Linked DNA regions of Rhinolophus ferrumequinum. The protein of the gene in region 2 interacts with the protein of the main gene of each other region in a pairwise test. Links are inferred from orthologs where the notes say so. Each region holds a gene or a part of one and is shown on either strand. Other genes may lie near its edges. The genes, in order: CCM2L, CAMK2B, RAP2B and ACOT7.

Region 1 (7,001 bases), on a different chromosome or scaffold from region 2:
TCAAAAGTCACTATAATACCTCGAAAGGACTGACCACCTGTGAATTCCCGCTTGACCTGAGTGGCTCTGTCCCCGCCCCCAAGCACGTTTCAAATGACGGTGCAAGTCACTCACCCTCTTTAGGATCTTGTGGCAGAAGTTAAATGGAAAGGGGAAAATGTTGTATGAAATAAGTGTACAATTTTGTCAGAAAAACTATGTCCCAAATCAATAAATTAATTCTTCATTTATTCTTAATAACTTAATGTTATCACTTAACTTCAGTGTTATTCCATCAATATAATAATTAACTTTTTTCATTATTTTTAATTTTATCCTTCTTGGTGAATTTCACTAATCACACTTTTTCTCTCTTTTTTTAATTCTCTATGAAATTTAAGTCTCCAGTTTTTAAATGGATTTATTTGTTAGCTTTTCTCTCCATAGAGGGTTGCCAGATAAAATACAAGATGCCAGTTAATTTTGAATGTCACATAAATAACAGATACTTTTTCAGTTTGGTTTTTTTTTAGTATTTTTAGTCTCATGCAGTATTGGAACATATATTAACGCTTTTCAACCCAAGATTGTGCCCACCTCTTCTCATTCCACACCCACCTTGACCTCTTTCTCCAGGTAGTCACACAGCAGAATCTGGGGGTCGATGAGGTAGTCAGGGGGATAGAGGGGCATGGAGTGCAGGGGCCGGCGGCTCACACTGCTCCGAAAGGCTGCCCGGCGTGCCGCCTTGGGGAACACCAGCCTCCGGATAGGGGATACAAAGCCCTGGGGAAAGTGGGGGAATAACATTGATAACAGCAACTGAGTTTCTAGAGAACTTACCACGCTCAGGATTTCACTTACATCACCAAATTTAATTCTCACAAAGACTACAGAAGGGGTACGTCCGTAATCCCCATTTTACAGGCAGAAAAACTAAGCCTCAGAGAGAGAACTAGCTGATAAGGTCACCAGCGAGTAGTGGTAAAACCAATTGCTCACCCTGGTCAGTCTGGATCCAAAACCTCCATTCTAAACACCAAGGTGAGGTGGAGGCCCTGCCAAGACCCTGGCTGAGGCAATTACAGAAAAATACTAAGATTCCATGTGGCTGGATGGTGGGTGCATAGGTATTTGTGAAGCTCTTCTCTGTGCTTCCTAAAAGTTAGAAATAGTTAATAAGTACACGGAAGTATAATTCAGCGGGCACCTGCATAAAAATGGCCTGGAGCAAGGTTAAAGGTGCAAATTCCAGGGCCCCTGCTCAGCCCAACAGAATCCAGTTCTCACAGGAAAGTTTGAGCACTACTCTAGAGCATGCAGGTCTCGGTGCGTGATTCCTGGATGCCCGCCGCCACCGCCAGCAGCAGCACCTGGGAACTTGAGAGAAATGTCCGTTCTTGCGCTCTACCTCAGACCTGATGGATCAGAACTTGGGGATGAGACCCAATGATCCAGGTTTTAACAACGGTTCCAGGTGATTCTGATGCATCAAGTTTTAAAACCAATATCAGGGAGCCTGGATGGGGTATATGGAAGCTCTGAGTAATGAGAACAAACGATCTCATTGGAAAGCGCATTCCAGCACGAGGCTTTCAGGCAGATGTGCACAAGCCTAGAGAAGCTGCGTGAGGTCTGCTGTGGCTGAATGATTATGTCAACAAGTCATAGCGTCCTTGATTGCCAGCTATGCAGCTGGGACTTTATCCTGTGTATGTGTGAGTGGGCTGGAGAGGTAAATGTTTTGTCTGTGGCCCTGAATGGTCCTGCTCATTTTACCCCACACTGCCTCTCACTTCCGCCCTCCAGCTACAGGGCCATCTTTCAGTTCTTCCTCCTTGCTATATTCATTCCCACCACCGGGCTTTTGCACGTGCTATTCCTCTGCCTGAAGCATTCTTCCCTATCCTCTTTCCTTCCACCCATCAGATCTCAGCTCAAACTGACCAATCTAGGGCTGAGTCCCTAATATCCTGTCTCCCAGCACCGTGTATGGAACATTTTATGCAATGTTGCATTAAATACTTTGTTTAAAAAATTGATAGTTGCCTCCCCCATGAGACTGAGCTCCAGGGAGGGAGCAGGGACCTTGCCTGGCTTTGCTCATCACTGCATCATCGACGGCACCAGGCATAGTGCCTGGCACATAATAGGTGCTCAGTAAATATCTGTAGAAGGAATGAATCCAGAGAAAACATGCACATCCATCTTGGCTCCCTTCTGAGCCCTTGTGATTCACGAGGGAGCCTTTTGGAACAGCCTGACCTACGTTTCCTGGGAAAAGAGGACTCGGTGGAGCTGAGAGTGGGACTTGGAGTCCGAGGGGCTCCCTGAACTGCAGGTGAGATGCTCAGAGAACCAAACTAGAACTTCTTAGAGTCAGGAAGGAGTGAGAACCTAAGGGGTGGAGGGAATAACCCCTAGGCTGAGGCCTTAGGAGTGAGCTCTGGTATAAAGATGGGGAGGGGCAGACTAGACTGGAACCCAGCAGGGGAGCAGGTATGAGTCTCAAGCCAGAATAGGCAGCGTCAGCACAGAATTGCCCTGGCTGAGGTCCTTCTGTCTGGGAGAGTAGGGAGCAGAGGAATGGGACTGTTGGGTGTCTGTCCCTGGTCTGAGAAGCTGCAGGAGGGAACCCCCAAAAACACCAGGGAAGGAGGTTGGAACCGTCTCCCAAACAAATCTGTCTGGCCGGGTTTCCCTGGAAGGTGCCTGTCTGTTTGTCTGTACATTACAAGGGTGGCAGAAGCCACTGAGAGCAGGAGGAGACCGGTTAAGGAGTTTGGAGCCCAAATGTCTGGCTGTCCAAGGGTGGGGAGGAAGGTCCTTCCAAATGGGAAAAAAGCCCTACCTATGCCCTCACTGCCGAGCACCCCCACCCCAGACTTCCCATTTCCCCAGCTCTGGGGACATTTCTCTGCCCTGCGTCCCTCCCAACCTCCCACCTACCTTTTTCCCTTTCTTGACTTCATATTCCATGGTGAATCGTCCCTTCTACTTCTGCCACCCTACTGGCCACCCCTTCCACTCTCTCCCCCCACACAGCTCCTTTGTTCTTTTTCCTGCCTGGTCGGAAACTCCACCAGCTCTGGAGTTCCTGCCCCTCCTGTCTGATAGTGAGCAGAGGTGGAGGGGGCTGGACGCAGCCTAGGGACCCTTCAGCTCAACAGTGGAAGCCCAGCTCGAGCAACTGACCTGAGGAGACAACCTCTAGGCCTCCAGCCAGAGGCTTGCTATGGAGGGGGCTTGGGAGTTGAATAAGGCTGGGGAAGGGTCCCCTAAATATGGAGTCCGAAACTCCCAAGTCCTACTTCTACTTCTGTCGCTGACCTGGCTGTGTGACCTTGGTAAGCCAGGTCAGTTACCCCTTTCACAGCCTCACTTTCCACCTCCCACTATAAATGGGGAGTAAATGTTGCCTCCTTTCTGGGCTGCTGTGGTGAGAACTAAATGAAAGAGCAGGTAGAAAAATACATCATAAACTATAGAATACTGTGTCCAAGCAAGTTATAATTTAAAAAATTAATTATTACTATTAAGGAAAGCAGTATGCATGAGCTTTGGAGATAGGCGGCCTGAGGTTGACTCCTGTCTTTGACACTTACTAGGGTTATGACCTTCGTCAAGTCCCTTAATCTCTCGTGCCTCAATTTCCCCATCTATAAAATGGGCATAATACCAGTCTGACCTCATAGTGAACTTGTAAGGATTAAATGCACTTAGAAGAGCTCCTGGCACATATGAAGTGCTTAATAAATCTTAACTATTTACTTTCCTATGTGTCTGTGTATCCTGGGCTATTTTACTGTCTCTTGGGAGAATATTAGGGAGGCAAGGCTCCCTTTGTAGTTCTGTGCTGAGCACCTTATGTATTTCATCTCACTTATTCCTCATAACATTGGGGTACCATTATTATAGCCATCATACAGATTTTAAGAACAAGCTCAACTGCAGAGGCTGACCCAAGAAGGTCACACAGTGAATAAGAGGAGGACCCGGGATTTCTGCCAGCTCTGGATCTGAAGCCAAGTTTCTTACCTCTAGGGCCAATGCACTCCGTATACCCCACCCAGGACAGTTGGAAAGGTTCTGATTGACCTGTCTTCCCCTTGCCATGACACCTGGGTTCCAGAGACCCACACTCTGGAACTGATTTGCTGTATGATCTAGGACAGGTTACTTATTGTAACCTCTCTGGGCCTCAGCGTCTTCATCTTTGCAATGGGAACAATGACCCCACAGCCTTGCCCTGCACTCAGAGATGTGGCAAGGAGACATCAGGCCCTGGATGAGAAAAGTGGTTGGAAATTGTGAAGTGCAGGGGCCAATGCATAGGATTGTTTTTCTGAAAGTGTGGGTGTGCCAGGTCAGTGCCCGTTGGAGCAAGGGTCAGAGCTCCCACTGCTTCTGCGTGTGAGGGCCACAGAAGACTCCTAGCCATTAGCCTTTCCCCTTACCTCCCTTCCTTTTTCCGGGGAGGGGAAATGGCCAGCCTGCTTAGTGCAAGCTCACACAGCCACTCCCTCCTGCTTCTCTACATCCTGCCAGTCACCTCCCAGCAGCAGGAAGGGAGATCTCCATGAGCCTGTGGCCAACCGGAAAAGGCCAGGATGTTGCTATCCCTGACTGTTCCTGACATCAAAACTCCCATTTAACCCCTTGAGCAAATCCCGAATTCCCACCCTCAGAATGGCAGCAGAGAATGAAAGATGGTCTCTTGCTCTGGCACCTCCATGACTGGCTTTTGCAAGCCTCTTCCTCTCTCTGAGCCTCAATTTCCCTATCTGTAAAATGGGGACGCTTATTATTCCTGGACTAACTCCAAACATCACTGAGCTTCTGGGCTTCTCAAGTAGGACAAGAAATGTTCTGAATGCCACTAGAAATAGCAAACTATCCATATTCTCTGCAGTGCCCACCCCAGGGCTATGAACTAATCAAATGCTTAGTAAACGTCAGTGGAAGTAGGTGGAGGAAACAGGTGGACCTAGGTTCAAATGTGTGTGACCTTGAACAGGTAGTTCATCTCTCAGAGCCCAGAGTTCTCATGTGTCAAAAGCAGGATAATGATGGTGATTGCCTCTGCTGCAGGAGTTAAATGAAAATAGTAGCATACAGTGGTAACATTTATTATTAGCTTGTGAATCATAAAACAGTTGAATAAAATAAAGTCCCTGCTTTCAAAGACAGTTGTGGCAAATAGGATTCATCTTGAGCCACTTCCAGTTGATTGGCAGGGGCTGCTTGGAGCTCTGTGGAGAGGATAAACACCAGATCTACTCCCAGAATGAAAAAGGATTGATTATCGATGCCTGCCATGGGACAGGAGGGGGGCACATGGCAGCTGGCGTATCATGCATATGCCGACCCTGACCTGGTTAGAGAGAAAGACACATAGGCAAAGAACTCTGAAATACGGCAAGTGACTAGTCTGGGAAGGCAGACTCAGGAGTCATTCACCAAGCCCGTGGTATTCAAGCCAAGCCTTGAAGGACATGTGGTAGGAAGGTCTAGGCAGAGGGAATAGCTTGAGCAAACACATGGTGCCTGAGTTGCGATGCTTTTGGCTGCAAAGAATAAGCTACTTGATCAAAGGTGGATTAGACTAGGGCGGCCGGATGGCTCAGTTGGTTAGAGCACGAGCTCTTAACAGGGTTGCCGGTTCAATTCCCACATGGGCCAGTGAACTGTGCCCTCCACAACTAGATTGAAGACAACGAGCTGCCGCTGAGCTGTCGGTGGTTCCCCAATATCCCCTCCTCCCCCCCAAAAAAGTAAATAAATAAAATAAAATTTTAAAAATTTTAAAAATTAAATTAAAAAGGTGGATTAGACTACAAGGACAATTTATTATCTCTTCAGACAAGACGTCCAATGGTGAGTGATTCCAGGGCTGGTTAATTGAGCATCTCAAAAATGGCATCAAGTTCTTTACATTTTTCTGCTTTGCTGGTGGTATGGACTGAATTGTGCCTCCCCAAATTTATATGTTGAAGCACTAACACCCAGTAGTACTTCAGAATGTGACTGTTTTTGGAGATAAGTTAAAATGAGACCAAAGAGTAGGTTCTAGTTTAATCTGACTGGTGTCGTTTTGCTTTGTTGTTTTTTAATTTTTAATTTTTTATTATTGAGAAACAGCATGTTTCTCCAGGGCCCATCAGCTCCAAGTTGTTGTCCTTCAGTCTAGTTGTGGAGGGCGCAGCTCAGTTGCGGGGGGCGCAGCCCACCATCCCATGTGGGAATTGAACTAGTAACCTTTGTTGTAAAGAGCTCGTGCGCTAACCAACTCAGCCATACAACTCAGCCATCCGGCCGCCCCATGGTGTCGTTTTAAGAAGAGGCAATTTGGACACACAGACACCACGCATGCACACATGGAGAGGAAAAAACACGTGAGGACACTATGAGAAGGTGGCCGTCTGAAAGTGAAAGCAAGAGGCCTCAGAAGAAACCAATCCTGCTGACACCTTGATCTTGGATTTCTAGCCTCCAGAATTGTGAAAAAATAAATTTCTGCTGTTTAAGTCATCCAGTCTGTGTTATTTTGTCACGGCAGCCCTAGAAAACTCATATAGCCGACAAGATGGCTGTTGTGGCTTTAGGAGTAATACATCCTTCCTTAGCCTGCTTTTGATGTCATCAACCCTTGTTGAAGCCAAGGGTTTCCCCTTCTTGTATGTCTTTTTATTGTAACAGAAAACCTTTCTTAGAGATTCTTCAAAAAACTTTTCTTAGGAACCTCAGGGTCAGATGTATTAGCCAGGATGTATTTGGGCTATAACTAAGATTGAAATAACAGTGGCTTAGACATAGACGTTTATGTCTTCTATCACTTAAGAGGTCCACAGCAGGTATAGGAACTCCGTGTATGCAGGACCCAGGGCCTTCCTACCTTCTTACTCCACCATACTATGGTTTTGCTTTCGACTTCAAGATGGCTCTCCACACAGCTGTAGTCCAGCCAGTTGGAAGGGCAAACAGAGCCAGGGGAGAGCACAACCCCTCTTTTTAAAGGGATG
Region 2 (7,732 bases):
CTATATATTAGTTATGGACACTTCCATCTGTGTGTAAATTAACCAAAAAAGGAGGACAAACGCCACGAGCATGACAGCAGCTGGAGGAAATGGCGCTTCACACTGATCTGTGATGCTTCACGGCTTATAACTTATAAAAACAACTTAAAGCCAAAAGGGCAATCGAGGAGGGACAGTTTTAAGTTCTGGGCAGAACAGACACACTACTCCGGGAAGTGTTCTCAATTTTAAAAATCCACCCATGGGGAACATAATTTGGTGGTTACCAGAGGGTAAGGGGGTTGGGGGGTGGGGGATGAGGGTGAGGGGGATCAAATGTATGGTGATGGAAGGGGAGCTGACTCTGGGTGGTGAACACACAGTGTGATTTATGGATGATGTGATACAGAATTGCACACCTGAAATCTATGTAATTTTACTAACAATTGTCACCCCAATAAATTTAAAAAATAAAATTAAAAATCCACCCAGATTAAAATCAAGAGAAATCACATTAAAACCACACTGCGGGAGGCTCTGTGCTGGGCTGAGTGTCCTACCCAGCTCTGTCCTGTCTGGGGACCCCCAGCTCGAGGTGGCTCTTAACCCAGGACATGGGTCACGTCAGCCCGGCCCAGCCGGACAAAGGCAGGGCCCCAGAAAACAGCTCCTTTGGCCCTCGGACCCTGTAGTCCAGGCCCCAGTGGACAATGCCTGGCAGTTGGCGGGGGTAGAGAAAGGGATGAGGGAGACCGGAGAAGCTGGCAGCCACGTCACAGGGGCAGCTGTGGGCCAGTGGCCTGGCCTTCCCAGGCAGGGCGCTCAGCGTCATCTGACTGGTGCCAGGGGCTGCAGCTTTAAATAAACTTGGACACATCCACCTGGGCCAGGAAGCAACACCAACTGTGTCTCTGGGAGGCCAGGCACTGTCAACAACCAGCCAACATGGCCACTGAGGACCCCAGCCCTGGGTGGGGTGGCTGAATGCCCAGTTCCTGCAGTCACCCAGCAGGGCTGAGCCTCACACCTGGGGGCGCTCCACAAAGGGCTCCAGGCCTAGCTGAATCCCTGTTCCCCTCCCTTCCTCTCAGGCCCTGCCCCTCCCCCCACACACACACTAGGCCTCTTCACCCACTCAGGCCGGGGTAGGGGTGCACCTGCACTGTGGGGGCTGCCACCCGCTCTGGCTCCCCAGGACAGCCCCAAGGACCCCACTTCCCAGTGTGGCTGTGGGTGGCAGCTGCCATGCTCAGCACTCACTGCTGGGACCAGAGCTTCACAGGAATGTGAAGCCAGGGTCATCCAGCAAGGAAATGGGGGCTCACAGAGAGGCAGCCCTGAGGGTGAAGAACAATGTGAAGTCCCCTGGAAGGGATGCCCTTCCTCCCACTGCCGCCCCCAGCTGGTGTCGTGGGTGGGAACCGGGGAAAGCAGACCCTGCCCTTACCTCTGCTCTGTTTCCAGGTCCAGCCGCCTTGGGGCCCGACACCCAACCAACCCCACTCAAGGGCAGGGAGTTTGTGGGTACGCCGCCCAGCCTTGGCCCCACCATGGGCCCCTGCAGGTCACCCCGCAGCCCCTAGGCCTGGGTATTTGCACCCCAGCCTCCTCCCAACTCCGCACCCACAATCATCAATGGTCAGCATGCACCCCAAACAAGGTGTCAACACAGACATTTGTTTAGAAAGAGAAAGAAAGGATCCGCCGCTGGGTGTGTAAGAGGAAACCTCCGCAGCTGGGATGGAGGACGATGGAGGAGGACGGGGCTCATTGGCAGCAGGCTGGGGTAAAGCCCCCCGATTCACGGCGCCAGCAGCCCCGGCCACAGAGAAGCGCCTGACGGGCTTCGTGATGCAACCCCCCCCGCAAAGCCAGGGCTCAGGCCCTACACCCTTCACATTGGCGAGTAGAGCCGGGAGCCACCTGTTCCCAGATGTGGCCTTACCTGAAAGGAGCCTTCAAACACCTCCCCACCGGCCCCCACCTACCTCTAGGACTCTGAAATCAGGAGCCCCCGCAGGCTCCCCACCTGACCGCCTTATCTCCAGCCCAGTGACCTAACCCCAGTTCCCTGACCTCGGTTTCCAGCTCTCCAGACTCCTCCTTCCGGAAGGATCTCGGGAAAATCCCCCAGAACAGATTCCCTGGGGGACCCGCGGCATAGGTTGTTCTCACGCGGCCCAAAGCGCAGCGAGCACCCCCGCCCCACGACACCCGCGCGGATGGAGCCACGAGGAGGAGCAGGCGCCCAAGCAGGTCCTGCCGCCCCCGCGCCCAGCCGCTCAGTGGGGGTGGGGACAGCACGGCCCACACCAGGGATGACCCTCGGCCCCGGCTGCCCCCTCCCTCACGCTCCAGGACCCAGAGCTGCCCAGGCGCGCCCCTCCTCTCTGACCTCCCGCCGCCAAATGCGTCACGTCTGCGGGGCGCTCGGGGGACACCTGCTGCCGCCCCCGCCGCACTGATCCCCACGTCCCGAGCCGGGGCTTCTGGCTGGGCGACCTCGCTGAGCAGGACCAGGCAGGGCCGAGCACGCGGAGGTCCGGCGACCTGGCCAGGAGCCCAGGGGTCCGGGCCTCGGAGCCGGTGCGTTCCGGGCCCGGAGCCGGTGGGAGCCGGGGGCGCGCCGGGCCGCAGTGCGCCCGGAGCTGGCGGCGCGGAGGTCCGGGTGTCCGGGGTCCCGGCCCCGCACGCACGCGCCGCGGCTCTTACTTGCCAATATCCTCGTAGAGCTGGTACTCGTCAGTGAAGCGGGTGCAGGTCACCGTGGTGGCCATGGCGGAGACGGACGGGCTCGGCGTGCGCTCTGCTGCGCTCGGGCGGCGGCGACTCCGGCTCCCGCTCGCGGGCACGGCGACGCGGACGCGGGCGACACCTCGGCTCGCAGCGCCAGGAGGGGGCCAAGCTGGGCTGCGAGCGCACGCGAGATCTGCGCGCTCCGTGCCCGCCAGGAGCGCGCTGCACACCTACGCGCGGGGAGCGCGGGCGCTGCTGTCACCGCCGAGCCTGCCGTGCCTATCCCGCCTGCCGCCCCCTGCGCGAGCCCCGCACCCGCGCCCTCATCCGCACCCGCGCCCTGCACACGCACGCGCGCGCGCGCGCGCACACACACATGTGCCCTGAACACAAGTCCTTGGAGCTCAGGGCCACGCACAGAACCACAGCCGGCTGCGTCTGCTGGCGACCCTCTGCGCGCGCGCACACAAACGAGACCACACAGTGAATCCAACCCCCTCTCGCCTTAAGGCCCACCTTGCCCAGGACTGCGAGAGGGCACTGGGCGCACAGGGGATGGGGGCACGTGTGCTACGTTCCACAGGATTCATCCCTCACACCCCTGGGAGGAGACTCTGTACTGACCCGTCCGCACACCGCATGGTCCTGTCACCCCCAAACCAGAGTGCGCACTGGAGATCCTGGGGGTGGGAGGTGAAAGGTTGGAGGCTGCCCCCTGCCCATGGTCCCAAACGCTCCCTCCCTCACTCCTCCTAGCCTTGGGTGCTGGGGTGTCTGCACTAGAGGTCCCAGCAAGGGGGCGGTTGGAGTTCAGGCCCAGGGTCCTTGAGTCAGGGGAACTCGTGTCCTGAGCCCCTGCTGGGGTAGGAGGACACATTCTCCCCTGTGCCAGGCGTCATCCACCTGCCTGACCCCCACCTCCTCTGGTCTGATAGAAGAGGGTCCATCCTGGGGGAGGAGGAGGAGGGAGCACGAGGGCTGGCAGGAGAAGCTGGCTGACCCCAATTTTCCACAGAAGAATCTCCCCCAGGGCCACGCCCAGGCTGCCGCCTAGAATGGGGACTTCAGATCCAGAAGAGGACCCACCGGGATCTGGTACCCCCACACTCCCTGAGCGGCCGGGGCCAGGGCCCATCCTGGACTGGCCCTGAGGAAGGAAATTTTCAGCTAGCTCTGGACTTGGGTTGCCTGGCTGCCCTGACGTGAGCCACTGACAGCACGGCAGGTAGGCTCCCAGTGGTGGGCACTTGGCCTGCCCTGCTCCTGCTCATCACTCACCTTGGTGGCCAGTCCAGGGCTGGCCCCAGAGGCCACAATAAATGTTTCCTGGATAAAAGATCACATCGAAGGGATTCTGGGGTGGAGGCAGCCAGGGCCTGCTCCACCAAGTTGCCTTTGGCACATGGATATCGGACAGATTAGCAGACCAGGTGGGACCAGTCCAGGTTCTGCGTGCTTTTGCAGACCCAATTTGCACCCAGAAGACAGAGGCCAAGGATAATCGGGTGAGTCCTGACTGGGGGCAGTGAGGGGCCTTTGGGGGCATGGCCTTGATTGCAGCAGGGTTGGCAGGATGGGAGACCACTGCCATGCCACGGTGCTGGGACCAGAGCCCTCAGCTGTCCTGACAGACGATACCCACCTTTCCTGTGAGGCCCCTCACAGACCAGCAGAGGCTTGCTCTGGGGTTGTGTTCAACCCCGCAGGAGCCTCTCCCCCAACATGCTGGGCCATCTGCGTGGTTCTGAGCTCACAATAGAATGCAAAGAGCAAACAAAACAAAATTGCACCCCTGGGCAAATCAGTCTCTCTCCAGGCTACAAGTAGACTCTGGGTGCTGCCAAGGTCACACACTCGTACCAGCGCGAGTCCATGCCATGATGAAGTGACATTAAAGGCATGACGACGCTGATTTGCTTACCTGATTCTACATGAATTATCTTATTTAATCCTCAAACAATCCTAGGAGGGTTATACTATTACTATACCCATTTTATTAGAAGGGAGAAAGAGAGAGAGGTGACACAGCTAGAACATGCTTGGGACTGAAACCCCACTGCTCTACAACGCCTCGTCTTATTTTCACACACTCGCACACTCACACATACACACAGTAACACACATGCATGGCTTCCACAGCAGCACTCTGGGTGCTTTGTTTTGAGGTCCCTTTCCCTGGGTGAGGAGGCTGCCCAGGTCCAAGGTTATACAAGAAGTCAGGGTCACCAAAGGGGTGCAGTTTGAGCCCCCTTTTCTCCTGTTAGGACCTGAAGTTCCCTGCGCAGTCCCTCCCCTGGGCTGAAACATTAAAGGTGCGACGCAGAGCAACCTTGAGGGCAGAGCACCATTATGGGGAACGGCTGAGCCTCCAGAGACCCTGACAGTCCTACACAGCCCAGCCCCTCACCCCACTCACAGAGCAACTCGCTCCCCACCTCCAGGCCCAGAGGGCTCCTCCCCCGCAGAGTGGAAAAGCTAGAAGAGTGAGGGGCTGCCAGCCATAACTCTTTCTGGGGCTGCCCAGAAGGCCTCTCATCTGGGTTTTGCTTCCCATCCCTCCTTTTGGAAGGGACCTCTTCCACCCGCACCCCCATGTCATCTCCGCCTCCCCCCTTATCCTTTCTAGCTGGCTTTCATCAGTGAGGAGGGCTCTCCCTCCCAGGTGGCAGCTGGGGCGGGTGTGGGGAATATCAGCTCTCAGTTCTGGGAGGTTATTGTTAGGATGGTCCCCATGGCAACGAGCATCACATCTGCAGAGCCAAAAGTGCTGCACTGGGGCTCAGTCCCCCAAGGAAAGCCATGGCATCCTCTGTCCCCTCACCCCCAGGGGCTGCTGTTATGGGAGGGATGTCACTGCCACCACCTCTCTCAGGCACAGTCATCTGCCTGGACGAGCATGCTGCAGTTCCCTAGAGCACAAAGATCCCAGTCATCCATGTCCAATCACCTGGCCCATGATGTGGCAGCCCATGCAGGATGCTGTGGCAAACATGTGGGAGGACGATTTGGTAGTGATGGTGATGATGATGGTGATGGTGGTGATGGTGGTGATGGTGGTGGTGGTGGTGGAGGTGATGGTGGTGGTGATGTGGTGGTGATGGTGGTGATGGTGATGGTGGTGGTGGTGGTGATGGTGGTGGTGATGGTGATGGTGGTGTGGTGGTGATGATGGTGGTGATGGTGATGGTGGTGATGGTGGTGGTGGTGGTGGTGGTGGTGATGGTGGTGGTGGTGGTGGTGGTGGTGGTGATGGTGGTGGTGGTGGTGGTGGTGGTGGTGGTGATGGTGGTGGTGGTGGTGGTGGTGGTGATGGTGGTGGTGATGTGGTGGTGATGGGGTGATAATGGTGGTGATGGAGGTGACAGCGAAGGTGATGGTGGCCAAGCTATAATTTACAATGTACTCACTACATACTGGAAAATCTGAAGGTCTAACACCCACCACCTCATGTAAACGTTATAGCAACCTTGCAAGATAGGGGCTATCGTTAGCCTCCTTTTACAAATGAGGAAACTGAGGCACAGAAAGACTGTAACTGGGCTCAGGTCACAAAGCCAGTTTGTGACAAAACCAGTATTGGCACCCAGATCTGCCTGACTTTATATCTGCTACCTTTAGCCACTGTGTCTGCTCAAGGGTGACTACTGGCCTTGTTCATGTGGTTACTGTGTGCCATTTGTGCCTGGCTCTGCCCAGCACCGAGTCACACTTGGGAATGAGGTGGGCTCATGCCGAAGACCAACAAGAAACAAATGTAAAAACACTGAGTAGTGATTTGCTGGAGAGTGACAGGGTGATAACTTCAGAGTACGTGCCAGGGGAAGCCCCTCTGAGGAGGTGACATTTAAGCTGAGATCTGAATGACAGAGACACTAGGATAGGGGAAGGGCACTGCAGGCAGAAGCAGCCATGATGCAAGGGCTCTGTGGCTGGAGCTGGCTGGTGTGTTGGGAAAGAAGAAGGGGGGAAGAGAGGGCCTGCAAGGCACCGCCATGCTCTATCATTTGTTCATCTGCGCGTTCTGCTTGGTACCTGAGTCCCCCAAGGGAGTCTGAGCCACCTAAACACTAACAAACAAAGTGACAAAGCTAACCAGTTAGCCTGGGACACAGCGAGTGTCCGGCATGAAGGACATGAGGGGACAGACCTGCAGACCTCCTCTTTTTCACTAGGAATCCAAGCCCAAGGTGGGCAGCACTGTATGCAAAAGACCATACGCTCAGCGTACAGGCGTCCCTGCTGGGCCCGCTCGCGGGCAGGGGCTCAGCCCTGCTCCTGCCACCTCTCCTGAACCCCTCCCCGGCCTCTGGTTGACTGGGACCCCCTCCCCAAGCCCCAGGCCAGTGGCCTGTTCTGGTCCAACTCCATCGCATCCCTCCTGGTTGGTGTCACCACCATTCTTCTGGAGATGCCTGTGACGCTGGGCCCCAGAAGTCCAGGCTTTGTCCCAACCCATCTCTCCGCCGACCTTGTATTGGGCTCACACAATTGTCTCCCTCGACCAGGGCTGTTCAGGCAGCATGACACCAGTGTCCCAAATAGCTAGGAGGGGCCGGGGAGCCACTCCCAGATTGTACCTCCTTCACCATGGACGCCAGGGTTTTGTTGTGGAAACTGCATCTTGGTGTGAGTCAGGAGACCTGCACTCAGGCCCCTCCTGTGCCCACCTGCTCACCTCCTACCCGTAAGCACACAGGGCATGCGTGCTGAAGTGGCTATAGGCCTGGGGTTCCCATCGCAGACACAGAGGACCTGTGTGTATCAGCCAAGGACTTCCCTGCCCCCAAGCACCCAGAGGGGGCACCTCTGCTGCCAGGGCTGGCTCTCTTCCTAGTGTTCCAACATAGAGACCCAGCCATTGCGTCCAGGTCCCTAGGAGTCGGATAGCGAAAAGGAGGATGGACTGTGGGCACTCATCAGCTTCTGGCCACATGACCCTCCCCTGACACCCATCGGCCAGAATCTAATCAAGACTTCACTTAGCTCCAAGGTGCTGAGGAAAAGGTCTTGACCCAAC
Region 3 (7,092 bases), on a different chromosome or scaffold from region 2:
TTTTTGCCTTAGATTTTTTTTTTCCCTCTTCCTTTTAAATCTAATGATCTATTTCCAAATCAAAACCTCAGAAGGGTTGAGATATTGTCTACAACCCGGACAAAATGTACTGCAGAAAACACTATTAGGTATATGACTTCAGAATAGAAATCATCTTCCCCAAACATCCTTTGGAATTGGTAGGTGACCTAATTTAAACAAAACAGTAAGTGCTACTCTGCCTGGTCAGGTGGATGGTTACTTTCCCAGACCAAAGGCAGGCAGTATTAGCATTTGGATTCTCCCTTCCTTACCTACAGTGAGGTAAGCTGTTGCTTGTCAGCAGAACAAATGTAGTAAGCCGGCATGGCCACACCCCAGGGCTTCCTAGACCTTGATGACTTTTCCTATTATTTAAGGATTTGGGAGTAATGTCACTCAAGTTGCCAATGAGTTACTTGTCTTCAAAATCTGACAAACACCTCTTGGGGCAGGCACGACCACCTGCCCTTGTCCACCTCAGCCATGATACTGAATATGAAACACAGAAACACAAACAATAGTTTTGGGTTTCTTTAAAAATGACATCTGTATTAAAAGTCTTAAAATGACGAGACAATGTGTCTGGAATTAAAAATTACAATTTGTTAGAATTCTCTTGGTACATCACAACAGTAAAATTTTGCTCTTAGCTTCTGGAGGAACACCCTATTAACAGATAACCAAAAGAATTTAATGATAATATAAAAGGGGAGCTAAATACCTGAACATTTGAACAAAATGAAAACGAAAAAAAATAGAAAAGAATAGAAACCATTGCAAGACATGGAAATTACATGTTAAAGGCTGGACATAATGAAGACATTCACAGAACAACAGGACCTATTGTCCTGTCTCCTTCAGGAAGATTACTGAAAGGAAACTGGAAAGTGGTGTGGGGAACAGCAGATTCTGGGACAGGGTGGGAAGTTCACAGGTTGGCACCGGCTGGAACAGCTGAGTTTGGAAGGCACTCTGCAGACACAGGGGTGCTGGGGGCCCTGAATCACATTTGTGAAGTCTTTGTCCTGTATTTTAAAGAGCTAGTCATCAAAATCTGTTACTGTCAACCAGTAAGAACAAAAAACTAAACTTAAAGAAACACACACACACACACACACACACAATAGTACACACAAAGATGTGCAGATCTGTAACATTTTTTTTCACAGCTGATAAAAAAAAATACTACCGTTCTCCCCCAGACTCCCCTTTGATACAGTAGGTAAACAAAATAGATTTTTTTTTTCCCACAAATATCAGCAGACACTTTCTGGCACCCCACACTGTATTGGCATCAGTGTTAACAAGTCAGTTCTGATGTGCAATAGTTCAGATTGGATACACTGTAACAAGAATCCAACTTTGCATAGACATCCTCAAATCGCAATCAGTCACGGGGTTGCCCTTCCAAGCTGGCAGAAAAAGAACCTGATCATAATTTCCAGCTACTCCTGGAAAACAAGGAAAAAAACCCAAAAGTTTCTTCCCCTCCTCCTGCTCCTTCATTTGGTTCTCCCGGACTTCCTTCCATGTATTTAAAACTTGGAACTAGAAAACGGTTTTGTTGACAAAAAAAAAAAAAAAAAAAAAAAAATCCCCCCCTTTCCACCTTCTCCCTGTCCTCTTTCTCCCCCACCCCATTTTTTTTTTCCTGGTTGAAACTTTCGCTTGCTGGTGTCAAGCTGCCAATACAGCGCCCTAAACGCTACTTACAGGGGGAAATATACGTCAACCAAAATCAATGAGAAACGTACATGCTGCAAAGAGCCACATTTCCACCGAGTCTCGGATGGTCAGGACCGGATACCCCTTCGGACAAGGGGAGGAGGCTGGGGACGCCGGCCGCAGAGGCCAACCGGGCTCCCGGGTCACCCTGGCCAATGCAAAACCGTCTCCAATCTCAAAGCAAGAAGAAAAATCACATTTAGAGAGTCGGGTGCGTTTGGCTTTTGTGCGCAGAGCGCGGCCGGCGCGCGGCGGCCACCGGCGCCTCAGAGGATCACGCAGGCCGAGCAGCAGCCCTCATCGCCGTTGGGCTGCGCCGCGTAGTTCATCTGCCGCACGATCTCGGCGAACAGCTCATCCACCGAGGCTTTGTTTTTGGCCGACGTCTCCATGAAGGGGCAGCTCCACTCCTCCGCCAGGGCCTTGCCCTCGCCGTACGAGACCTCGCGCTCGCCCTCCAGGTCCACCTTGTTGCCCACCAGGATCATGGGCACGCGCTCGTACCGCTTCACGCGGATGATCTGGTCCCGCATGGGCTTGATGTCCTGGAAGCTCTGCTGGTTGACGAGGCTGTAGACGAGGATGAAGCCCTGGCCGTTCTTGATGTACAGGTCCCGCATGGACGCGAACTGCTCCGTGCCCGCCGTGTCCAGGATCTCCAGCACCGACGGCGACGAGTCCACCTCAATCTCCTTGCGGTAGAAGTCCTCGATGGTGGGGTCGTACTTCTCGATGAAGGAGCCCGTCACGAACTGCACGGTGAGCGCGGACTTGCCCACGCCGCCCGAGCCCAACACCACCACTTTGTACTCTCTCATGGCTCCGTCGGCGCTTTCACCGCGCCTGCCGCGGCCCCGTCGGGGCTGCGCGCCGGGGAAAGGCTGGACTCGGCGGCGGGACTTCTCCCCGTCCTCAGCTCCGTAGGAAAAATCTAGGAGACTGTGGCTGGGGAGCGCAGGACGCAGCAATCACCAAACGGGGGCCGGACGCCGGGCCGGCCGGCGGCGGCGCGTCTCTGGGGCGCGGGTCCGGGGCCCCGCAGCAGCCCGCAGCGGCAGCCTTGGCTCGGACCGGGAGGACAATGCCGGCAGCCTGTGCGAGGCGACGGCTGCAGCTCCTCGCCGCGGCAGCCGAAGAGGACGGAGAGGCGGTGGCGGCGGGGTGCGGAGGTGGCTGCTAATTGCGCGCCGAGCTGGGACGCTCGTGGCATGAGTCCCCGCAGAGCGTACGCCCACCGCCGCGGCCCATCGCGCTCTCTCCCGCAGCCTCCGCGGGGCGAGGGCTTCCTACTCGCCGCGCGCAGCCGGGCCCTCCCCACCCCCGCGAGCATGCCCAGTGCACCGCCGGCCGCGCCCGCCCGATCCGCTGCTCCTGGTTTTCCGGGGGGCCAAGCAGGGGGCGGGGACGTGGGTGGGGCTTGCGATTTGAGTCCGGAGGAGCGGATTCCGGAGAGGCGCGAGTCTAGGGGCTGGATGGGAAGTGCGGGGGGTTGGTTATGTTGAAGGGGGGCTGGGAAAGCTCAGGTAGGAGGATTGGAGGCCGCGTTCTTTCACGGCGCTGGGGTTCCGCAGAAGGCGGCGGCTCTACGAGAAGCTTGTGGGCGCGAAGGCCCGCCCCAGGGGCGGCCTCTGCTGCAGCGGAGTCCCGTTTATCAAAAGCCCGGGGACTTCACTCTCAGAGCCCCTGCGGGTGTGCGTCTCAGGGCCGGAGGCATTTGGGTGCCAGAGCGGCGGGTGGAGCAGCTTCCCCCGCCCACGGCGCAGCTCTTTTCTAAACCGTTCGCCTGGGAAACGCCACTCGCCCTTCTATGGCCAACTCTGCCCGCACTTCATTCCGCGGACAAAGAACACGAGAACGCTGGTTCTGAACCACCGTCCCGACCAGGAAACGGGCAGCCTCCAGTGACCGCAGTCCTCTCTGGGCTGGGACTTGGAGCGTCCCACCCGCCTCCCGTCTGGACTGGAGCGGAACCTGGAGACCGGAATTCCACCCCGTCCCGAAGTGGCGGCTGCTCCCGCAGCCAGTCAGGGCATGCTCAGTGGGCAGAGCAGGTTTTCGGGCTTGGAAGTAGGAAGCTTTTGCACCACACACCCACACTCCAGCTCAAATTACCTCTCCCAGCCTCGGGACCCATTGGTCCCGGGGCGCAAATCTCACACCCCCAACTGTTCTTCCATTGGCTACCGCCAAGGTTTTGTCAGTTTGGGCTGCTTCATTGGTTAAAAAGTAACCTCCGCTCTTGATTGGTTATTTATAGAGCTGGAGTTGAGAGGCGGAGGCACAGCTGTTCTTTCTCTGCTGCTCCCCCGCGCCCTTCCTCCCACTTCCCCAACCTAGTCGTTTTGAAGCTAAGAGTGCAAAAATAAGAGGAATTTAGGCGGAGAGCTCAGAGCTAAATATAGTCCTTTGTTGGTGTTTTTGAGAGAGTCTGACTTCTCGGTGCCCAGTCACGACTGTCCCTTAAAAGGAGGAGAAAGGGCTGGTTACAGTTCTTGGTCCATAAGCAACAGCAAAGTTAACAAGTTTTTGTTGTGTTTTGTTTTTTGCAGAAGGGGTAGAGGGGCTAGGATGTGGAAACGGGCCACTTTGAATTCTTTCCACCCGGAGAGGTGGGGGGACGGGGAATGCCCAGGCTTGTCTTTAGAAAACGTCTTCGCTTGGCTCAGCTCACACGGGAGGTGCAAGGGAGATGCCTCGACTTGCCCCGAGTCTCCCTCCTTCCTTGCGGAGGAGAGATGTCAAGACCTGTCAGAAGACTTAGAGAAGTTAGCAGGAGCACCTAGATGAAGGGGTGGGAGGGGACAAGGCTTTGTCAACCCTGGCTCCGTGTCCTGACGTTTTTATCTGGTGTCACTTCCCACTGGTTTAACCGCCCGCATCACAGGGATGAACCAGGCGGTGTGCTGTGTGCTAACACTTAGTTTCAGTTCCTGAGCCCCGCCCGATTCACGGCCACGTTTGCGAGGTAACCTTTTCCGAACCCCAGGCTGTAGCTCGTACTGTGCATGTCTGCAGCCCAAAGTCCTGGGCCACCGGATTGGCGGGATGTGGGCAGCAGCCTACGCCTTGGATGGGGGTGGGTAGTGCCCACCCCTGTGCCTGGCCCCGCTATTTAGTGGAGAAAGGAGGAAGGTTCAACCTTGATGATCAGAGAGCTTGGATATAATTGTGCTTATATAATTCTCCAGATAACCTAACTCGAAGGCGAATTCACCTAATACAGCTGGAGAGAACCTCACCTTTAACCAGTGTTTAATGTCTGCCAACCTTTTTAACACGTGCTATCTTATTTACTCCTCATAATGATTATCACATCTGTTTTAAGACGAGTAAACTGAGGCCCTAAGACAACTTACTTGATATTTCACAGCTAGTGAGTGGCCAAGCTAGGGTCCCAACACAGGTGTTCGGCTGCTGTAAACAATTGGCCATACTACTACTTCACAAGAAAATTCCCAGATTTTACTCTTAGATTGAATCTTGAGGTAGTGTCATCAGACTGGCTCTTAAACCCAAGCAAAAGGAACCTCTGCCCACCTCCACCTCTGCTTACCTCTGGCAGTGCCCCTTCTCCACAGGTCAAAGAGCCCACACACTCTTCTAGACTATGCTACAGATCATCAGAATTCTGGAATCTTCTGCCCAAATGGTACCAAACCCTATTCCAGGATCTGCTTGGGGCTCTGAACTCATCCCTGTGTTTGGGAATGGGTCTTTGTTGACAGAGTGTGGACAGGGCTTGGACCTGTGGGCTGAGGTGTGTGCCCTGCAGGGCACTTGGGGCCCCTCCTTAGTGCAGGAAGAGGGGTACCTTGGAGTCAGCCCTCCCTTCCCTGCCACCTTCCAGCTTGGCCCGCCCTCAGAGGAGTCTAAGAATTCATAATTCACACCTGGCCCTCCAGGTCCTTGGGAAGAGGTGTTTGTCAAGATGGCAGGATAAATCATGTTGTGTTTAACAGTTTGTTATCTTGATTTATGACTTAAATACTTAGATGAATGCTGTATGGGCCTTTATTTGTCCTCTTGCCCACAAATGCTAGGTGTGGTGCTGAATATGGTACAGTAGAAAATGCTTTTCTATGTAGGCCTGGTGGCTAATCTCAAGTATTGGATATCAATTATCTGAGACCTTGGGCAAGTCCCATAAGCTCTCCTGACCTTAGTTTTCCTGGCTATAAAATGGTGATAAAATTTAACCTACCCACTTAACTATACAAGGAACCTTGGAGAGAATCTAGTGACCAAACGTGTCATTTTATATCAGAGAGAACTGAGCAGAATTAGAACCCTGGTGTCCTGGGCTGCCCTTTTCATGGTGCCAGCCTGTCCTCGGGGGTAATAATTAACAGATAATGGATGGAAATGTGCTTTCAAAGCTGCAGTACCCCATAAATGCATGACAATTACCACCTAGACCCAGGGGCCCTGACAGCCCCACCTAGGAAAGACTATCCTCAGGAATCCAGGCATTGTTGTGGATGGGTATTATTGAATCTTGGTGCCCTCTCCAGTACCAGAAAGATGCCACAGTTTGAATACTTTCTAATTAGGGATTCTTCAATAGTAATTTTTACTACATTCAGATGGTCTCCCACAGAAAGATTTGCACTGTGGCTTTGGGGTTCAAAATGAAATAATAAAGTTGCTGATGCAGAAAATCTTAAGGGTGGTCATTTCCTCTTACGAAATCTGTCAGGAGTCTTTATTTACCTTACTTATAGGTCATTATATATCCCGTACAATAATTATTTATATGGCTGTGTCTTGTCACCCAGCATCATGTGAATTCCTTGAGGGCAGGGTCCATATCAGATTATTTTTGGAGCCACCTCTGTCCCTCAGAATACCCAGTGCAGTACCTACATAGGAGGCCGTCAATACATATTTATTGAATATATGAATGGCATTTTCTTCAGTTTCCAAACTCTGTTTGTTAAAAATTATATTAATTCTTGGTGAGACAGAACATTTCCTGGATCCTTAGAAAATATATACTATTTTTTCAGTCCTCCTGAGTCACAAAGATGTTGGGCGATCAAAGTCTACCCTTATTTGGGTGGAAACACTAAATCAGTGCTAACTTGGGGAAAGTGGCCAAGTGTTCAGTGGACAAACCTTTTCTCTGAAGAAGACTTCACATTTGCAGATAACATGAAGAGGCATTTCTAGAAAACAAAAGTAAGAGCTACCAGGTAAGCACTGCTCAGCCTTTGGTACTGAATTTACATAGACGAGTGTCTCTGGCCTTTGCTCACACAGTGGGATAGCTGAGCTTCTGTGACACTGGAGTTGGGCCTTCAAAGAATTAACTGGTTTGTTAGAACATGAATCTTTTAACTCCTCAAG
Region 4 (7,475 bases), on a different chromosome or scaffold from region 2:
AACCCAGGGTGTCAGCGTCCTGAGTTTGCGTCCCACTTTTCAGACAAAAAGAGCCTCCATTTGCTTACAATGCGCCAGTCATTCTGGCAAGCACTAAATGCATTTTCTTTTCTGTAACACTCGGAACAACCCATGAGAAAATGGGGGCACAGAAGAGTTAGGCAGCCAAGTGGCAGAGGCTGAATTCACACCCAGGCGTGGGACTACAAAGCTGGCTCTAACCACTGCCCTCCCCAGCCTTTAGAGCCCCAAGCCCTTCAACATCTCCTTCGGAACCCAAAGCACGTGAGCACTCTTAACTGTGCAGGATGGTGGGGGTTTGGGCATCTTCCCCCTGCTGAACTGTGAAACCCCGTAAGGTAAGGACCAAATTTTCCAGGTCGGTGTCCCTCCCTCAGAGCACTTTCCTCCTTGGAAGCGTCCAGTGAAACTTGTTAAATTCATGGGTTCCGCTGTCCTAGGCCAGGAGGCTCCTCTTTCAACACAGGGTGTCGGCTCAGATATCCTTAAAGGGCTCCCCACACTGGTGTGTCCACTCTTTCCTGTGTCCTGGGCTTTCACTGGACCAAGCCTTTGTGACCAAGCCCTCCCCACTTTGGCAGGCTCACCTCAGCCAGGTATGCTGCCCAAGCATCCCACAGCCAAGGCAGCCGAGACAATATGCAATTGTGAATATGCAAGAGGCAGTCCGGAAAGCACAGTGAGCAAGAAAAGCCCACACATGTAGGCTTGTGCACATATGGAAGTGTCTAAAGCTATCCAAAAATCTATTAATTGTTAGAAGCTGGGGCTTTCAGATACTTATTTTTTAATTAGATTTATTGGGGTAACATTGGTTAATAACATTATGTAAGTTTCAGGTGAGACGCTGGTTTTTAACAAGATAATATGTGTAGCCTAGGTTTTCATCAGCCTGATGAAGTAAATAAAAGCCCAGCTGTCCACAAATAGACTGAAATCAGTATCTTCTTTTTTGGGAGTGCAGTGGAAAGAGCACGGGTCTGGAGACAGAAGACCTGGCAGCAGCTGCTCCTCAGGCTCTTGTGGCTGGATGACCTTTCAGAGGCACTGGGTCTGCGGAAATTCAATTTCCTCCTCCACATATGGGGAGTGGTGGAGATCCTTGCCTCCTCCCAGGAAGTTGGACAAAACAAGCGCGATGAGACAGATACAAGCCCTTTGCAAAGGATCACCCAGCCAATAAGGTCACCCAGCCAATAAGAGGCAGAGCCTGAACCAAGGACCTGATTCCAGGCCCCGCTCTCTCCAAATAGCAGTCACTTCTATTATTTTTGCCCCAGGAACTTGGAGTGGGGGGTGGACAAGACAGCCAAGAACAAAGGGAATGGAGCAAAGCTCCCCCGAAGATTCCCTCTCCCTAGAAAAGTAAAAACTGACCTTGAAGTCAGTAAAGGCCCTGGACTAGGCCAGAAGAGGGGGTGCGGTCAGGGCACCCCACCGATCCAGCACTTACTCTTCCAGAGAGATGTTAACATCCACAGGAAACTAACCTGGCTTGGACCCAAGGTTAGCGTGATACCCAATGCCCAAATTTGTGGAACCTGCCCCAAAACAGGAAGCAGCTGTCACTCTTAGCGGTGCACCACGCAGGACAGGCCCTGTTGCAGGCCCCCAGTGCCTGTGCGGCCTTCGCAGCCTTGCCCTTACTTAGCTCAAGCTCAAATACCAGCGAGCCTGCTTCAGATTCTGCCCAAGGGAATGAAGAGTAACCTTGAGGCTGCCCTCCATCCTCTGGTCGGAAATGAGCCAGTTCCCGATCTCCCGCTTCCTCTGGGGGCCTCCATCTACCTGGTACCCGTGGAGAAAGGCAGGGGTGGTCTGCTGAGAACAAACAATTGCCCCCATTGTGTAAGATGCTTCCAGGCTCAATGGACCATTCCCTCTTAGCAGTAAACTGTTAGAGAGGAAGGATATTTTTTTTTCTTTGGGTTAATCCTGGTTTCCCCTAAAAAAACCTAAGCGGTGCACTAAAAGGGACTGTACATCTGCAGCCCCCGCCCACTCGGGCACCCACCGATGGGTTCGCCGGGCTCCGGACGCCGACCAGCGAGCTGGTTACTTGCGCCCCACATCTCGGGGGATCCGGTTGGCTTTGCACCACTACCCAGAAAACGACCCTGAATTAGGGGACTCAGTGGGACCTGGGCTGGGGTTCCAGCGTGCTTGGGCACCGGTGGGGCGGAGCTGGGCGGGGCGCAGGGGGGCCGCACTCCGACCCCCGCCAGGAAAGGGCGTCGCGCCGAATCAGTGCGCAAACGGCCTGCGTGACCGCGGCGCCGCCCGGGGGATGCGCGGGAGGCCGGCGAGGACGCGCACGAGGAGGCCGCTGTGTCTGCGGCACCCGGGGCGCACCCGGCCGCGGGCGGGCGGGGTCGGGAGACGGACGGCTGGCCGAAGATGATGGGCCTGGCCCGGGGCGGAGGCGGGGAGAGCGCGGAGGGGCAGGCCGGGCCGTGACCTGGCCTTCCGGCCGTCCTTCGCGCTGCGCGCCCCTCTTACCGGCAGATCTGGATGGCGGACGGAGTCTCGGTGGTGGGGCCCGACATGCTGGCGGCAGCGGCGGCGGGCAGCTGAAGGAGAGCGCAGGTGTCTGGCGGGCCGGGCGCGGAATGAATGAGCCCGGGCGGCGCCATGGAGGGGGAGGGAGGAGGCGGGGCCATGGCGCTGGCGTGGCGGGGCCTCCGGGCCGGCAGCGAATCGGATGCGGTCGTCTTGCACTCCCCACCCCTCCTACGTCCCGGCCCCTGGCGTCCGCGGGCTCCTTGGGCGTCGGGCTCTGGCCGTGGGGCGCCGCTTCTAGAAGGTTCGGCGGCGGTTGGGCGGTGCCGGCGGGACGGCCGCGTGGGTCAGCCTCGCCCCGCGCGGTGTGGTTTGTGCGTGGCGTGCCCACCCGCGGCGCCTGCCAGCTCGTGGTCTCACCGTGCGCCCACCGGGCGGGAGAGGCCGGATGCGGAGGCCCCGTGGCCGTTGCGTGTCAGAAAGGCCTGCGAGAGTGAGCGTCAGGGTTTCGCCTTCTACAGTCAGCCCCGAGAGGAAATTGGAGGCGGTTTCCTGTAAACGAGCGTTCGTGGCGGAGCTGCTGTGTAGAGTTGTGCAGGGCGGCACGTGAATGCACAAAACGGGAAGCTAGGAACTGTTAGGCCTTTGCAGCAAGTGCCTTTGCAGCAGCACCAGCCTAGATGGGCTGGAGAGAAGCAGGGAACCGGGGTCTGTTGACACGGCCCACGCTGCAAACACGGCAGAGGGAGCCCAGGACCATAACAGTCCAAATGTTACTGTGTCCTGGCTTCTGTAAAGAGAAAAGGGTGCTCCCGGGTTAACCACTTGTATATGATTGCCAGTTGTTTTCGAACAGGATCTCAGTGGGGGGGCCCAGTCCCTTAGCAAAAATACCATGAGTTATTTTTGCTATAGTGCTGATGGTTTTACACAATCTCTCCCCTTACAGTCTCTCACCTTCCCCTTTTAGTTTTTTCTACTTTCTCCTCAAGCTACTGGGCCATTTCTATCCCTCTCTTTCAGCAAAACTTCTCAGAGCTGTTTATACGTCCACCCTCTCTCCTCTTCCCTCGTCCCGTTCTCTTTCCAACCCATTCCTTTCTGTTTTTATCTCTGCTGCCCAATTATCAAGGTCACTAATTCCTTCCAAATTGCTAAACCCAATAATTCGTGTCAGAAGTCGTTTTACCTGTCTTCTCAACAGCAGACGTTATCTCTCTCAAAACGTTGACTCTGCCTTCCAAGACATCACCCACTCCTGTTTTTCTAGCCACTCTGCTCAGCCTGCTGTGCTGTTCTGCCTCACCTCCTCCTCCTCAGAACTTGACTTAGAGGAGACCCGAGCAGTGCTTGGACTGGAGGTCTCATCCTCTCTCATGACTTTAAGTCCCATCTAGTCAATAATTGCCACATAATCTGCAGCGCAGACCTCTCTAAATTTCAGGCTCATATGTGCTTTTGCCTAGGCCGCAGCTCACTCAGGCTGTGTCATAGGCATCCAACGCTCTCCACCATCCTCATAGTCCCCCAGAATTTGTTCCTCCTGCAGTCTTCCCACTTCAGTCACAATCCCTTCCTTCCAATGGCTTAAGCTAACCTAGAGTCATCCTTGACAACCCCCCCCTTTCTCTCACACCCCTCATCGAACCCATCAGCAAATGTTGCCACCTCTACATTCAACGTAAGTCTAGAATGTGGTCACTTCTCCAGCTGTGGCATTCAAGAATCTGCCCACACCTACCTCCATGTGTCCGGCTTCACCTACTGCTCTCCCTCTCGGTCACTGAACTCTCGCCGCTCTGACCTCCCTGATGGGCCTTTAATATGCTGAGACCACTTGGCCCTAGGGACCCACGTGGCCCACCCTTTCACATCCTCAGTTCTCCACTCACCCTATCTAAAATTCTCCAACACTCCCTAGCCCCCTCCCTGGTTTGTTTTTCTCTTAATTAGCACTTAATACCGTTCAACATATATTTTACTCATCTATCTATTGTGTCTCCACCAACTAGGATGTATGTTCCATGCAAGCAGGCATTTTTGACTATTGTTGTATCCCAAACTCCTAGAAGAGTGCATAGCTCATAATAGATGCTCAATAAATATTTTACGAATGATTGAATTAGTAGTGGTTTACCAACAGCAATGTATTTAACAACAGCAGATATTTAATTCATTATATTTAATTTGCACACTTTTTGGACTAGAAATATACACAAGTTGTTTTAAAAACAAATATATTATTAAAATAATACCTAATATTTATGGAAAGATACGGAAGAACCTGTTGACACCTTTGGAAAAAGGACTAGGGGTAAGGCCTTTACTTCTCATTTATATGTTTTTGTACAGTTATCATCTAACCATTCACCTACGTTATTACCTTTTCATGGTTAATTACGGAGCATCTGATACGAAGCAATAGGAACTCTTATACACTGAGGTTGGGACTAAATTGGTACAACCTGTTTGGAAAATAGTTTAAAATAGTTACTAAAGTTGAAAATAGCCATATCCTTTACCCAGCAGTTCCACTTCTAGGTATTCACCCGATATATTGAGAATGAGTGCACCCAGATACGCTTCAAAGAGGGTTCATAGCAACACTGTAATAACCCCAGACTGGAAATAACCCAAACGCCCATCAACTGTAGACTGGGTCAGTAAATTGTAGCATACTCTTCGATGCAGTACAAATACCCGTGAAAACCAATGAAATTCCTTTACAACAGGAAAGAATCACAATGAGGAAAAGATCCAAAAGGATACATATAGTGAGTGTCCAGCCATGCACAGAAAGACCTAACATTCCATTTGTGCTCTTATCAAAAAGACGAGATAAATGCTGGAGAGACGTGGAGATAAGGGAACCCTTGTGCACTGGATAGGAATGTAAATGGCTACAGCCACTGTGGAAAGCAGTATGGAGGCTCGAGAAATTACAAATAGAGCTACAATATGATCCAGCAATCCCACTCTGGGTATATGTCCCAAGGAAACAAAACCTTTGTCTCAAAGAGATAGCTGTACCCCCATGTTCACTGCAGCAGCATTCACAATAGCCAAAATGGAGTATTATTCAGTTTAAAAAGGAAGGAAATCCTATCGTTTGTGCCAACAGGGATGAACCTGGAGGGCATCATGCTAAGTGAAATAAATAAGCCAGACAGAGAGAGACAAATACTGCATTTTCTACAGTATGTGGAATCTTTAAAAAAAAGAAGTCAAACTCAAAGAAATCATAGAAAAGCGATTTCCAGGACTAGGGGGTGGGGAGAAGAAGGGGAGGTTGATAACAGGGTACAAACTTTCAGCTATAAGAGGAACAAGACCTGAGAATCTAATGTATAACATGGTGACTATAGTTGATAACACTGTGTTGCATAATAGAAATTTGCTAAAAATAAAATATTTGTTAGGAAAACGTAAGTAGATGGCAAATCTGTAAAGAAAAACATGGACATGATTATCACAAAAGTCAAGACAGTGGGTCCCTCGCAGTGAGAGGGAGAAGAGTATGATCGGGGTGAATCCCACGGGGTGGGGAGAACGGGGGAGTATGTTCCCTCTTGACTCAGGCGATGGTGTACAGCTTGATAATTGTTTTTATACAATGCACATATGGGCATTACGCATTTTTGTTATATCTAGTTCACAACTTTAAAAACTAATGTACCTGGGAAGTGGGATTATGGACTTTTTTTTTTCTATGTATTTTTAGGGAAGTAGCAAGCCTAGTGGTTATGGGTTTGGACTATGTAGTCCAATTCCCACGCTCATATCTTTACTATTAGCTGTGCAGCCTTGGGCAAATTACTTACTTACTCTGTGCCCAAGTTACTTCATCAGTAATGCTATCATAGGGTGGTGAGATAGAATAAATATGGGAGAGAAGCAACAAGCATTCTAAAATATTAGCTATCAGTACACTGGTATTAATGTGGCTGCCCCAGCTTTCTTTTGATAAGTGTTAGTATTGTATTTTTTTGTTTTTGGGTTCTCCAAAGAAACAGAACCAGTCGGAGATATATAGATATAGATGGAAAGAGAGAGAGATGGATTTATTATGAGATTGTCAAGAATTGGCTTACATGATTATGGAGGCTGAGGAGCGATCTGCCATCTGCAAGCTGGAGACCCAGGAAGGCCAGTGTTGTGATTCCATCTAAATCCAAAAGCCTAAGAACCAAGGGAACTGATGGTGCATATCCCAGTCCGAGGGCGACACTCACACTGGGGAGGGCCGTCTACTGACTGAAATGCTAACCTCACTGGAAACACCCTCACAGACACCTCCAGAAATAATGTTTAATCTGGGCACGCCTAGGCCAGTCGAGTTGACACATGAAATTAACCCATCGTAGTCTTCTGTCTTTTCACTTTAACCTTTCTGTCTCTATATTTAAAGTGTGTTTCTTCACCAACTTACATTGGGTTACTTACCAAGGCAAATCAGGATAGAGGAAAATTTCAAGAAATCAATTAAGGTTGTTCATTTTCCAAATCATAGGATCCTCTCTAGGGATATTTGGTTTCCTGTCTTTCTTCCTCCATATCTTATTGGTTAGCTAAGGCTTGACCATGTTCCTTCTAATTGACTTTTAGTTTCTTCTCCATTATCACCATCATCACTCTAATCAGATTCTCATGGTCTCATCCCAGACTTTTCAGAGCTGTTCTAACCAAATTCAAATATTTCAAAAAAAAAAAAAAAGTGGGTTAGGGTGGAGTAAAGAAGTGGGCCCCACAGAAGAAAATAGAGACTGTTCCTTGTAGAATTGCATATAGTAGTAGCAACTTGCATTTTTATGCAGTCTGACAATCTTTGCCTTCTACTCGGAGCATTTAGACCATTTATACATAGTGAAATTATCAATTCGTATACTTAAATCTATCATTTGCTATTTGTTTTTCTATCTGTACCATTTGTCCTTTGCTCTTTTTCCCCCCTCTTC

The links.
Region 1: the proteins of CAMK2B (region 2) and CCM2L interact in binary tests that used the Homo sapiens proteins (3 or more experiments, as listed by UniProt). The two-hybrid records come from large-scale screens. The link is inferred for Rhinolophus ferrumequinum from reciprocal best matches to the Homo sapiens genes CAMK2B and CCM2L.
Region 3: the proteins of CAMK2B (region 2) and RAP2B interact in binary tests that used the Homo sapiens proteins (3 or more experiments, as listed by UniProt). The two-hybrid records come from large-scale screens. The link is inferred for Rhinolophus ferrumequinum from reciprocal best matches to the Homo sapiens genes CAMK2B and RAP2B.
Region 4: the proteins of CAMK2B (region 2) and ACOT7 interact in binary tests that used the Homo sapiens proteins (3 or more experiments, as listed by UniProt). The two-hybrid records come from large-scale screens. The link is inferred for Rhinolophus ferrumequinum from reciprocal best matches to the Homo sapiens genes CAMK2B and ACOT7.

What each region holds. Positions count from the first base shown.
Region 1 is NC_046306.1:22,527,794-22,534,794, forward strand, and holds the start of CCM2L (cerebral cavernous malformations 2 protein-like), read right to left. Parts: upstream 3,018-7,001; 5' UTR 2,959-3,017; coding exon 2,929-2,958; intron 766-2,928; coding exon 598-765; intron 1-597.
Region 2 is NC_046303.1:208,220-215,951, forward strand, and holds the start of CAMK2B (calcium/calmodulin-dependent protein kinase type II subunit beta), read right to left. Parts: upstream 3,012-7,732; 5' UTR 2,757-3,011; coding exon 2,692-2,756; intron 1-2,691. UniProt on the Homo sapiens protein: Calcium/calmodulin-dependent protein kinase that functions autonomously after Ca(2+)/calmodulin-binding and autophosphorylation, and is involved in dendritic spine and synapse formation, neuronal plasticity and regulation of sarcoplasmic reticulum Ca(2+) transport in skeletal muscle.
Region 3 is NC_046285.1:84,987,455-84,994,546, forward strand, and holds the start of RAP2B (ras-related protein Rap-2b), read right to left. Parts: upstream 2,717-7,092; 5' UTR 2,565-2,716; coding exon 2,013-2,564; 3' UTR 1-2,012. UniProt on the Homo sapiens protein: Small GTP-binding protein which cycles between a GDP-bound inactive and a GTP-bound active form. Involved in EGFR and CHRM3 signaling pathways through stimulation of PLCE1.
Region 4 is NC_046292.1:3,884,670-3,892,144, forward strand, and holds the start of ACOT7 (cytosolic acyl coenzyme A thioester hydrolase), read right to left. Parts: upstream 3,012-7,475; 5' UTR 2,682-3,011; coding exon 2,521-2,681; intron 1-2,520. UniProt on the Homo sapiens protein: Catalyzes the hydrolysis of acyl-CoAs into free fatty acids and coenzyme A (CoASH), regulating their respective intracellular levels.